Linked DNA regions of Bombyx mori. The protein of the gene in region 2 binds, or shares a complex with, the protein of the main gene of each other region. Links are inferred from orthologs where the notes say so. Each region holds a gene or a part of one and is shown on either strand. Other genes may lie near its edges. The genes, in order: WASH complex subunit 3 and WASH complex subunit 4.

What was found.
Region 1: WASH complex subunit 4 (region 2) and WASH complex subunit 3 share a complex: the UniProt entries of both Homo sapiens proteins name them as parts of the WASH core complex. The link is inferred for Bombyx mori from reciprocal best matches to the Homo sapiens genes WASHC4 and WASHC3.

The regions. Positions count from the first base shown.
Region 1 is NC_085118.1:943,059-946,994, reverse strand, and holds WASH complex subunit 3, read right to left. Parts: upstream 2,434-3,936; 5' UTR 2,285-2,433; exon of another isoform or gene 2,238-2,284; intron 2,151-2,237; 5' UTR 2,078-2,150; coding exon 2,021-2,077; intron 1,864-2,020; coding exon 1,699-1,863; intron 1,316-1,698; coding exon 1,043-1,315; 3' UTR 670-1,042; downstream 1-669. Other genes in the region: pre-mRNA-splicing factor SPF27, read left to right, coding at 3,594-3,668. UniProt on the Homo sapiens protein: Acts as a component of the WASH core complex that functions as a nucleation-promoting factor (NPF) at the surface of endosomes, where it recruits and activates the Arp2/3 complex to induce actin polymerization, playing a key role in the fission of tubules that serve as transport intermediates during endosome sorting.
Region 2 is NC_085118.1:10,740,282-10,744,217, reverse strand, and holds the start of WASH complex subunit 4, read left to right. Parts: upstream 1-1,254; coding exon 1,255-1,532; intron 1,533-1,699; coding exon 1,700-1,866; intron 1,867-2,045; coding exon 2,046-2,536; intron 2,537-2,648; coding exon 2,649-3,936. UniProt on the Homo sapiens protein: Acts as a component of the WASH core complex that functions as a nucleation-promoting factor (NPF) at the surface of endosomes, where it recruits and activates the Arp2/3 complex to induce actin polymerization, playing a key role in the fission of tubules that serve as transport intermediates during endosome sorting.

The DNA.
Region 1 (3,936 bases), about 9.8 Mb from region 2:
AATGGTGACAATTTGACAGGTGGTGTGCTGGTAAATTAGAAAATATGAGTTTGTTTTAGCATCTTATTGGATACTCGACAAAAAGTTCAGATTAATTTGGTTTTGCTCTAAGAACTTTATCAATATGTAATCAAGGTCACCACTTTGGACCAGATGCATCCTTAAAACCTCCCATTTATTGCACCTATACTTTATTACCATCCACATCGTATGGTAATACTATAACTATAACTTCTATGAGTAGGAATAAAAAAATCATGCTTAGCATTAATTAATATGTCTCATAAAAATATTAATGGTATGGCCAGCCTTATTTTTATTTATTATCAGGGTGCTGGCAGAGAACTATTTCTGCAATTACTTAGGATGGTACAACATTTGATGCCTATAGGTGCCTATTATTGTTACTAGAATATAATATAATAGTATCTCTGTAGCATGATTGTACACAATCTAACTGACATGGCCAATTTTACGTCAAATAAATCTCTCATAAATCAATACACCTACTACCCCTATAAGAATACTATTTATTTGCAAAAAAAGGAATAAATCGCATACAACATGTTTCACAAAATAAATTAATTAAAATAGTAAGCATATATCAACTTTCAGAAGTATTTAATGATTTTTTTCTAGGTCCACCTCTATGTGATCAATAATCTTGCATGATTATAAAATCCTTTATTAAAAACAACATTTTCAACATTTCATAAAAATATTAAGGAATGCTACTTAAATATTTGAGCCTATTACATTATTTAAAACGATAAGAACAAAAACATTACAATTTTAACAATTAGAATGATATTTTTATAGATAAAAGATAATATTTTCTAAACTATACGTTGATTACAATTAAACAAAAAAAAAATATTATTTTATTTTATTAATTTTACACTTATGATCCCATTAGATTAGAGGTATCACAGAATACACTGTTCTATTGTTTGTTCTATAAAAGTAAACTATGGTTTACACACTATGGTTATTTGATCATACTATGCTAACAACACAATAATGTAAATAATAAAATATTATTTTATTTTATTAATTGCTCCAGTATTTCAGGATCGAGACCTTCTAACGAGACTTTGAGTTTCACTGCCTGCAATGGCACTCCTACTTGAACCATTTTAACAAATTTATCATATTCAGGTTTAGTTTTCATTTCTGCTGGGGCTTGGTCTTCTAGTTTTCTTTCTAGATTTTCTTCTTGGAGTTCTGTTTCATTTTGACTTTCAGTAGATTCAGTCTCTGTAACATTACTTGTATTTGTCTGCTTAGGAATGTCTAATTCTGGTATTGAAGATAACTGAAATCAATAAGTTTTATCTATTTATGTATCGGTTTGATGTATGCTATCAATTAAAATGAAGTTTTTGAGGCACATGGGCAATTAAAGAAATGGCATAAACACAACCTGAATAAGGATTATGGTGAAATGCAATGATGCCATATCTTAAAATTAGTAGTAGTCTAATTTCTAATCTGGTAGGAGACCGTTTTTTTTTTAATTCAATTGAAGCTTTATGCATTGCAAATATATCAATAGGCTGCTCTTACTTTATCAGATCAATCAACAGCTTTCCAGAGAAGGTCTTGCAGAAATGGTTTATTATGACTAATGATAGAAAATAAAAACATTTTAGATATCCGTTTTTGTTTACATACAATAATTTATAAAAATATAATCACCTTAGATTCTAACAAAACCATGGCAGCATTAACTTTTTCTAATTTTCTCTCAAACTGCATCAGTTTCTGCTCGCAATTCGTCATAAAGTTATTCAGAAATTGTACATTTATTGTTAGGAAATGATTTACAAATGCCAATGTACGTTTTTGATGTAATGCCGCAACCTGCAATTTGTTTTTTAAATATTAAAAATAAATTATTCTCATTTATAAAAAAATATTGTGTTTTCTAGAATTAGGAAGTTTATAAAGATAATCAAGGCCGTGAAGTTTGTACTGCATTAAATTTTACAACAAATAATAATAATTCCAAATTTAAAACCTTAGTTAAATCCGTTTGTGGGGATTCGGATTGAGTTAAATCTTCTTGGATGGTCATTTTCAGTAGAATATAAACAAGACGAAAAAGAAATTTGTCTTGTGGTTTGGAAGCTTGAATTTGTTTTGTTCTACTGAAAAAACCAAATTGAATTACATTTCAATACATTGACTAATAGGTCCACGAGTTTTAATTACACTAAGTTTAATATAAAAAGCACCTAATTATTTTACAATAACAATCTTTTTCCTTCCGTGACAGTCGTACCTATTTATTTACGTTAAAAGAGTATGTAAGCAAATTAAAAGGAATATTTCAGTAGGTACAGTAGGTACGGTACCACCACCTAAGTCTGACATTATTATCATTAATTTACATTTATCAATATAACACTATTCTTTGACAATAGTGCTACTGTCCACTGTCAATATTTGTAGTAGTTCTATTTTTCCAACTGGAAAGGCAAAAGTATCATACGATACAGCCTAAGTTATCATTGTATTTTATGAAAAATGATAATATGAAGTAAAATGAAATAGAGTTGATTAATTTGAAACAATAATCAATTGGCGTGAAATCTAAGTAAAATGATGGTTATTTACTGAGACTTTAAGGAAACTGCCACCTCGCCCCGGGCAACAGTCTCATCAAAGAGGGTACACACACGCATGATTGCGTCGATGGTAGACCGGCCCTTTCTGAAGCCGTACTGTTCGGCTGACCGATTGGAACCCGTCCTGGGGATGGGGCAGATGACGCATCCACGACTTGCTCCAACAATTTTCTAGTTTCGTCCAGCAACACGATGTGGTGGTACACCACGGATGACTCCTAGAGGAGCTCCTCTTTCCTCAGAAGGATGAATCTGTCCGATTTCCGTCCGGGCTCAAGGCAGGCTTCGAAAAGCCGCACAAGCCAATCCTCCAAAGTACCGAAGGCCTGACCTGGCCACGACTCCGTAGGAGATCTAACAGCTAAGGGCAACTGCTTCGCGAATGTATCTGTAATAAAATGTCTAATTTTGTAGTAATGAAAGCTTTTTAATCACTGAATACATGTGAAATGGCACAAGTTTTAAAAAATCAAACAAACATTGGACGTGTTCACACAAATCATCCACTCCTAGACGTGCAGCGACCGTATTTATTAGATTCCTGCGACTTTCAGTAGGACGTCAGTTCACCTCGTCGAAAGTCTATCTAAGCTGCGTCGTGTGTGGCTGCCACTCGAGAATATTTTCAAAATAAGTTCGTTGATCTCTCAGTAAGCACCATTGTTTCATTATCAACTCATCTAATATCTACTCGATGTGTTCTTCTTTCATTAAATTCCATTTTATAATATAATATTAATTTAATATCAATTTATTGAATATCGAGGAATTCAAAAGATTTAGCTATATGGACTATATTTCTTTTGCCTGTTCATTTTAGGCTTAAAACTAGCTCAAACGAAGAATGTCACACAAGTGACACAACTAAAATCAAATAAACAAAGAACAGCGTTAAAACTTTAATATAAAGTGATAAATCACAGTACCCATTCGTAGTAAAGGGAGTTATAAATTTTGTAGAAAATGGCAGGAGAAGTTGTCGTAGATGCATTACCATATATAGACCAAGGATATGACGATCCTGGAGTAAGAGAAGCTGTAAGTATTATGATAACCTTACTTTTTTTAATTCTTGGACCATTTCCTTTACAACAAAGATTCATATCGCTTTAGCTTTGACATCTAGAGAAAGAAATTCAATAATCATTTTGGTATTGCTGGTCTGAACGACCACACTTCACAAATGTGGGTTATATTCTCGTCTGCTTCAAAATGCGCAGTCACCGCTGAGAGATTTATATAAAAATGTTTTTTTTTCGTTGTTTCTTGAACATGTATGCTATTTCGAAGGACTTCCTTTTTCGAA
Region 2 (3,936 bases):
TCTGATTTTAATGCCAATGAAAATTTTAATTGCAATGTCAATAGTAAATGGCCTAACTGGCATCAAATTTATACAGATGCATCTAAACACTCCAGTGGGTGTGTTGGTGTTGGAGTGTATCACAAACAGTACAACATAGTTCAGAAAATTAAATTACCTCCGGAATCATCGGTCTTTACCGGTGAATGTTTTGGACTATTAAAAGCTCTTGAATATGTGCTGTCTTTCAAACTAAAAAAAACCGTTGTATTTACTGATTCCTTAAGTGCATTACAGAGCTTAGCAAAATTTTCACTAAAACTTAACCCTTTTTTTCATGTAATATTTGAATGTAAGAGAAAGCTGTTGCACTGCCAATCACACAACTATTTAGTATCATTTTGTTGGGTACCTAGTCACTGTGGCATATCTGGAAATGTGAAAGCTGACAGTTTGGCCAACAGTGCTACTGTGACCGGTGACGTATACCCGTACAAGAATTTTGGCCATGATCTTGCTGCTTTGCCCGGCATATGCCTCCACAAATCGTGGAATATGTGTTGGGAAGAGAGCGGCCGGATTAAGGGTCGTTTCTTGTATGCTATACAGTCTTCCGTTCCCAGGAAGCCATGGTTTGCCAAATTGTCGTTTGGTAAAACCGCCACTTCTACTATAATTCGTATGCGTCTGGGACATAACAGCCTTCCAGTTCATTTGCACAAACTTGGTATCGTAACTGGTACCGCCTGTGAGTGTGGCGAGAGTTATTGTGACCTGAATCATATTTTCTTTGCTTGTTCTTTATATGATCATTCTTCCTTATATACTTCTTTAGTATCTGTCTCTGTTCCCCTTCCTACTAATATTTCTTTACTTCTTCGAGATTTTAATCCCCTTGTATATAGTATTTTAAGTAGGTTTATTTTAAATAATAACATTAAACTATAATTTTGATTTATTTTCCCTGTTATATAATTATTCTGATTTTTTTTGTAAATTCAATTCGTTCTAAATCATTTATGTTTTGTTGCGATAAGTTTCCTTCGTTTTTTATTATTTATAAACTGTAAATAAATAAAACGGCGAATTATAAAAACATTATTACTTGACGCTGGCTAATGCACAAAACGTGCCAGAGCCAAAAATAAAGAAGAAGAAGAATAAACATCAACAAAAAACATTTTAAACAGAATTATCGTAATTAATAGTCAACAAAAAGTACATAGTGATTATTTCTTTCAATATTATTTTAATCTGAAATACAAGTGCATAAAAATGAAAAGTGATTTCGAGAAAGAAAGTACAAGCAATATTTTAAAAAAATATGGCATATTTTTCAAGATGCAGTATCAGGTTTTGGCATTCAATTGCAATAATGAAATACTAGATGATAATAAAACATTTTTGCCGATTCAATTACTCATGAGTCCACACGAGCTCGTACCAATTACTGAGTTAGTAGTATCGGATAACACATTTATGACTAAAGTTTTGAGTGTGTTTACTTCCTTATGTGTTGAAGTAAATAACTTGAAAGAGGAAGCCTTTGAAAAGTGAGTTTTATTTATCGAGTTTCCGAAAATCCACAGTAATAATAGCTATGATTGAACTTTATAAAAATTCTCATTTTTATGAAGAAACATTCCACAGTTACGTCTAAGCAGAAGTGTAAACTTTTAATTATGCAAGTGAATGTAGCAATATTTTAATTGTGTTTCAGGTATTTTATCTACTTGGCTGCTTATGAAAAATATGAAACAGAAGATGTGAGTTCCCAGATGGAAATGATATGCTTACTCTGCGCATTTATCATTCGATGTGATGAAACTTTAAGAAACATGTGCAACCAAGTTTTTGCTTTGTTTTCCGATGGAACTGTTAATCTCAGTGAGTTTACTATTAATTATTTTTGTTCAATATTACATGGTTAAATTAGCATATTATTTTTTTATTTGATTAAATTTATGCTATCACTGAAAGTAGATAGCCCCGACATTAGTTGTAAATTTCGAATTATTAAAATGAAATTATTCATTAATGACCTTAATACTAACATGATATTGTAGATTGCATTCAACTACACTATATCATCAACCACATTGGAGAGATATTTACTATTCTTGTCTTACTTGAAATACTGATAGCCAATACTTCAATGCCCACAAATTGGAATAAATTTTGCAAAACATTAAAAACATACCATAACAAGAACTCGGCAGCTTTAGATATTACTGAAGAGAAATTTAATGCAATGATGGGGGCTATTAATAACATCACAGTCAAAATAATGAATGATGATATTGTACAAAAATCATTACAAAGTGTATCACTATTGAGAAAGAACTTGATTGACAAGAATTGTTCTATGATAGCAACAGAGTTTTCACACTACCTTAAACAGGGAATTATAAATTTGGACAAACTTGTACAGGAACAACCCAATGTTCGAAATATGTACAAATGTATTAAAATTAATAGTTTATTTGTATTGTCTTCACAATTGTTTGGTAATGTAGACAAGAAGATATTTAAGTCATTAGTGGAATTGAACACAAAGGTTGGTGTTAATTTTATTTATAGCAATTGTAACTTTTGTAACATTTACACATGGCACAGACAGAGAGCCAGCTGAAATGAATAAAGTTTATACAAACAGTCTTATTTTTCAGGCACACAGTGTTCATGTGATTGGAACAACTATGTGGTATCCTGAGCAATTTCTACAGAAACATGCCCCTGCACTTTGTGCAAAACAGGAAAAATTATCACAAACTATGTTGAAAACACGGCAATCGTATATCAATATGAAAAAAACTAGCCTATCTCGTGATATAATTAATCTTCAAATAGTATGTGGTCAATGGGTGTTAAATATTGAAGATTTCTTTTCTGCTGATCATCATAGGCTTAGTGCTGCTGAAATGAATTTACATTCCAGAACTCTTTTAAATGGCTTGGACCTAGCATCCAGAATCAATCATGAAGTTTTGACATTGATAAATTTACATCTTTCCCTTGGGATACCTCTTCCAAAGAGTATGTTAATGTTGGTATTTGAGATAATCAATATTTTAAAATCAATGCTGAATGCAATATCACGGCATAGAAGCCAAATAATTTTATCTATCAATATGGTCATTCAACATTTTGTATTCCAAGCAACATCAACAATATTAGAAGTAAAGAAATTATTAGTTTCAGACAAGAATTTCGCAAATAAAAGATTGGATGAACTTACATGCATCGTTATTGCAGAAAAAGCACTTCGTGGCGTAGCTACAATTGAACGAAATGTAGTAGCTAACACAGCACTGAGCTTTATACCTGAAAGTACTTATTTAGAAGACAGCTATGTAAAGCTTGGTTTGTTGTTAGAGAATGTTCAAACATTGACAAACTTGATGAAATCAATGGAAAGTTTTTGCAATTGCTCTTGGCTGTTCTGGCATCAGAACATATTTCCAATTTACTTTGATCAAAACTTTTCTATGCAATTGAGTACTTTAAAATTAAAATACTTCTTAATGGCCTTAGAAGACTGTACGGTGCTATTACATAAAACAGATAAATTATTTGATAGTAATATAAAAGAAGATTTTATGGAAACAGTTAAAAAGTACATGGAACAAAAATTTATCAAAGGTGCAAGTCAGAATATTGAAACAAATTTACGATTGCATATACATTCACATCTTCAACTTGATGTAATCAATCCATTTACTTTTGAAATGGTAAAAAAATTGCTTCTAGCAATTAATACTTTTAGAGTTCAGTACATTTACATGTGTGTTGTGCCATCAGTTGAACACTATCTTTCAACAATGTTCTACAACCTAACTACCGTTGTATTATCAGATTGGAAAACTTATGGTGAAATGAGACAAATGGCGAGACTAAAATTCAATTTAAAAACGGTTCAAGATAATCTCCCAACTCAGACTCTGGAGCAGGGCCTAG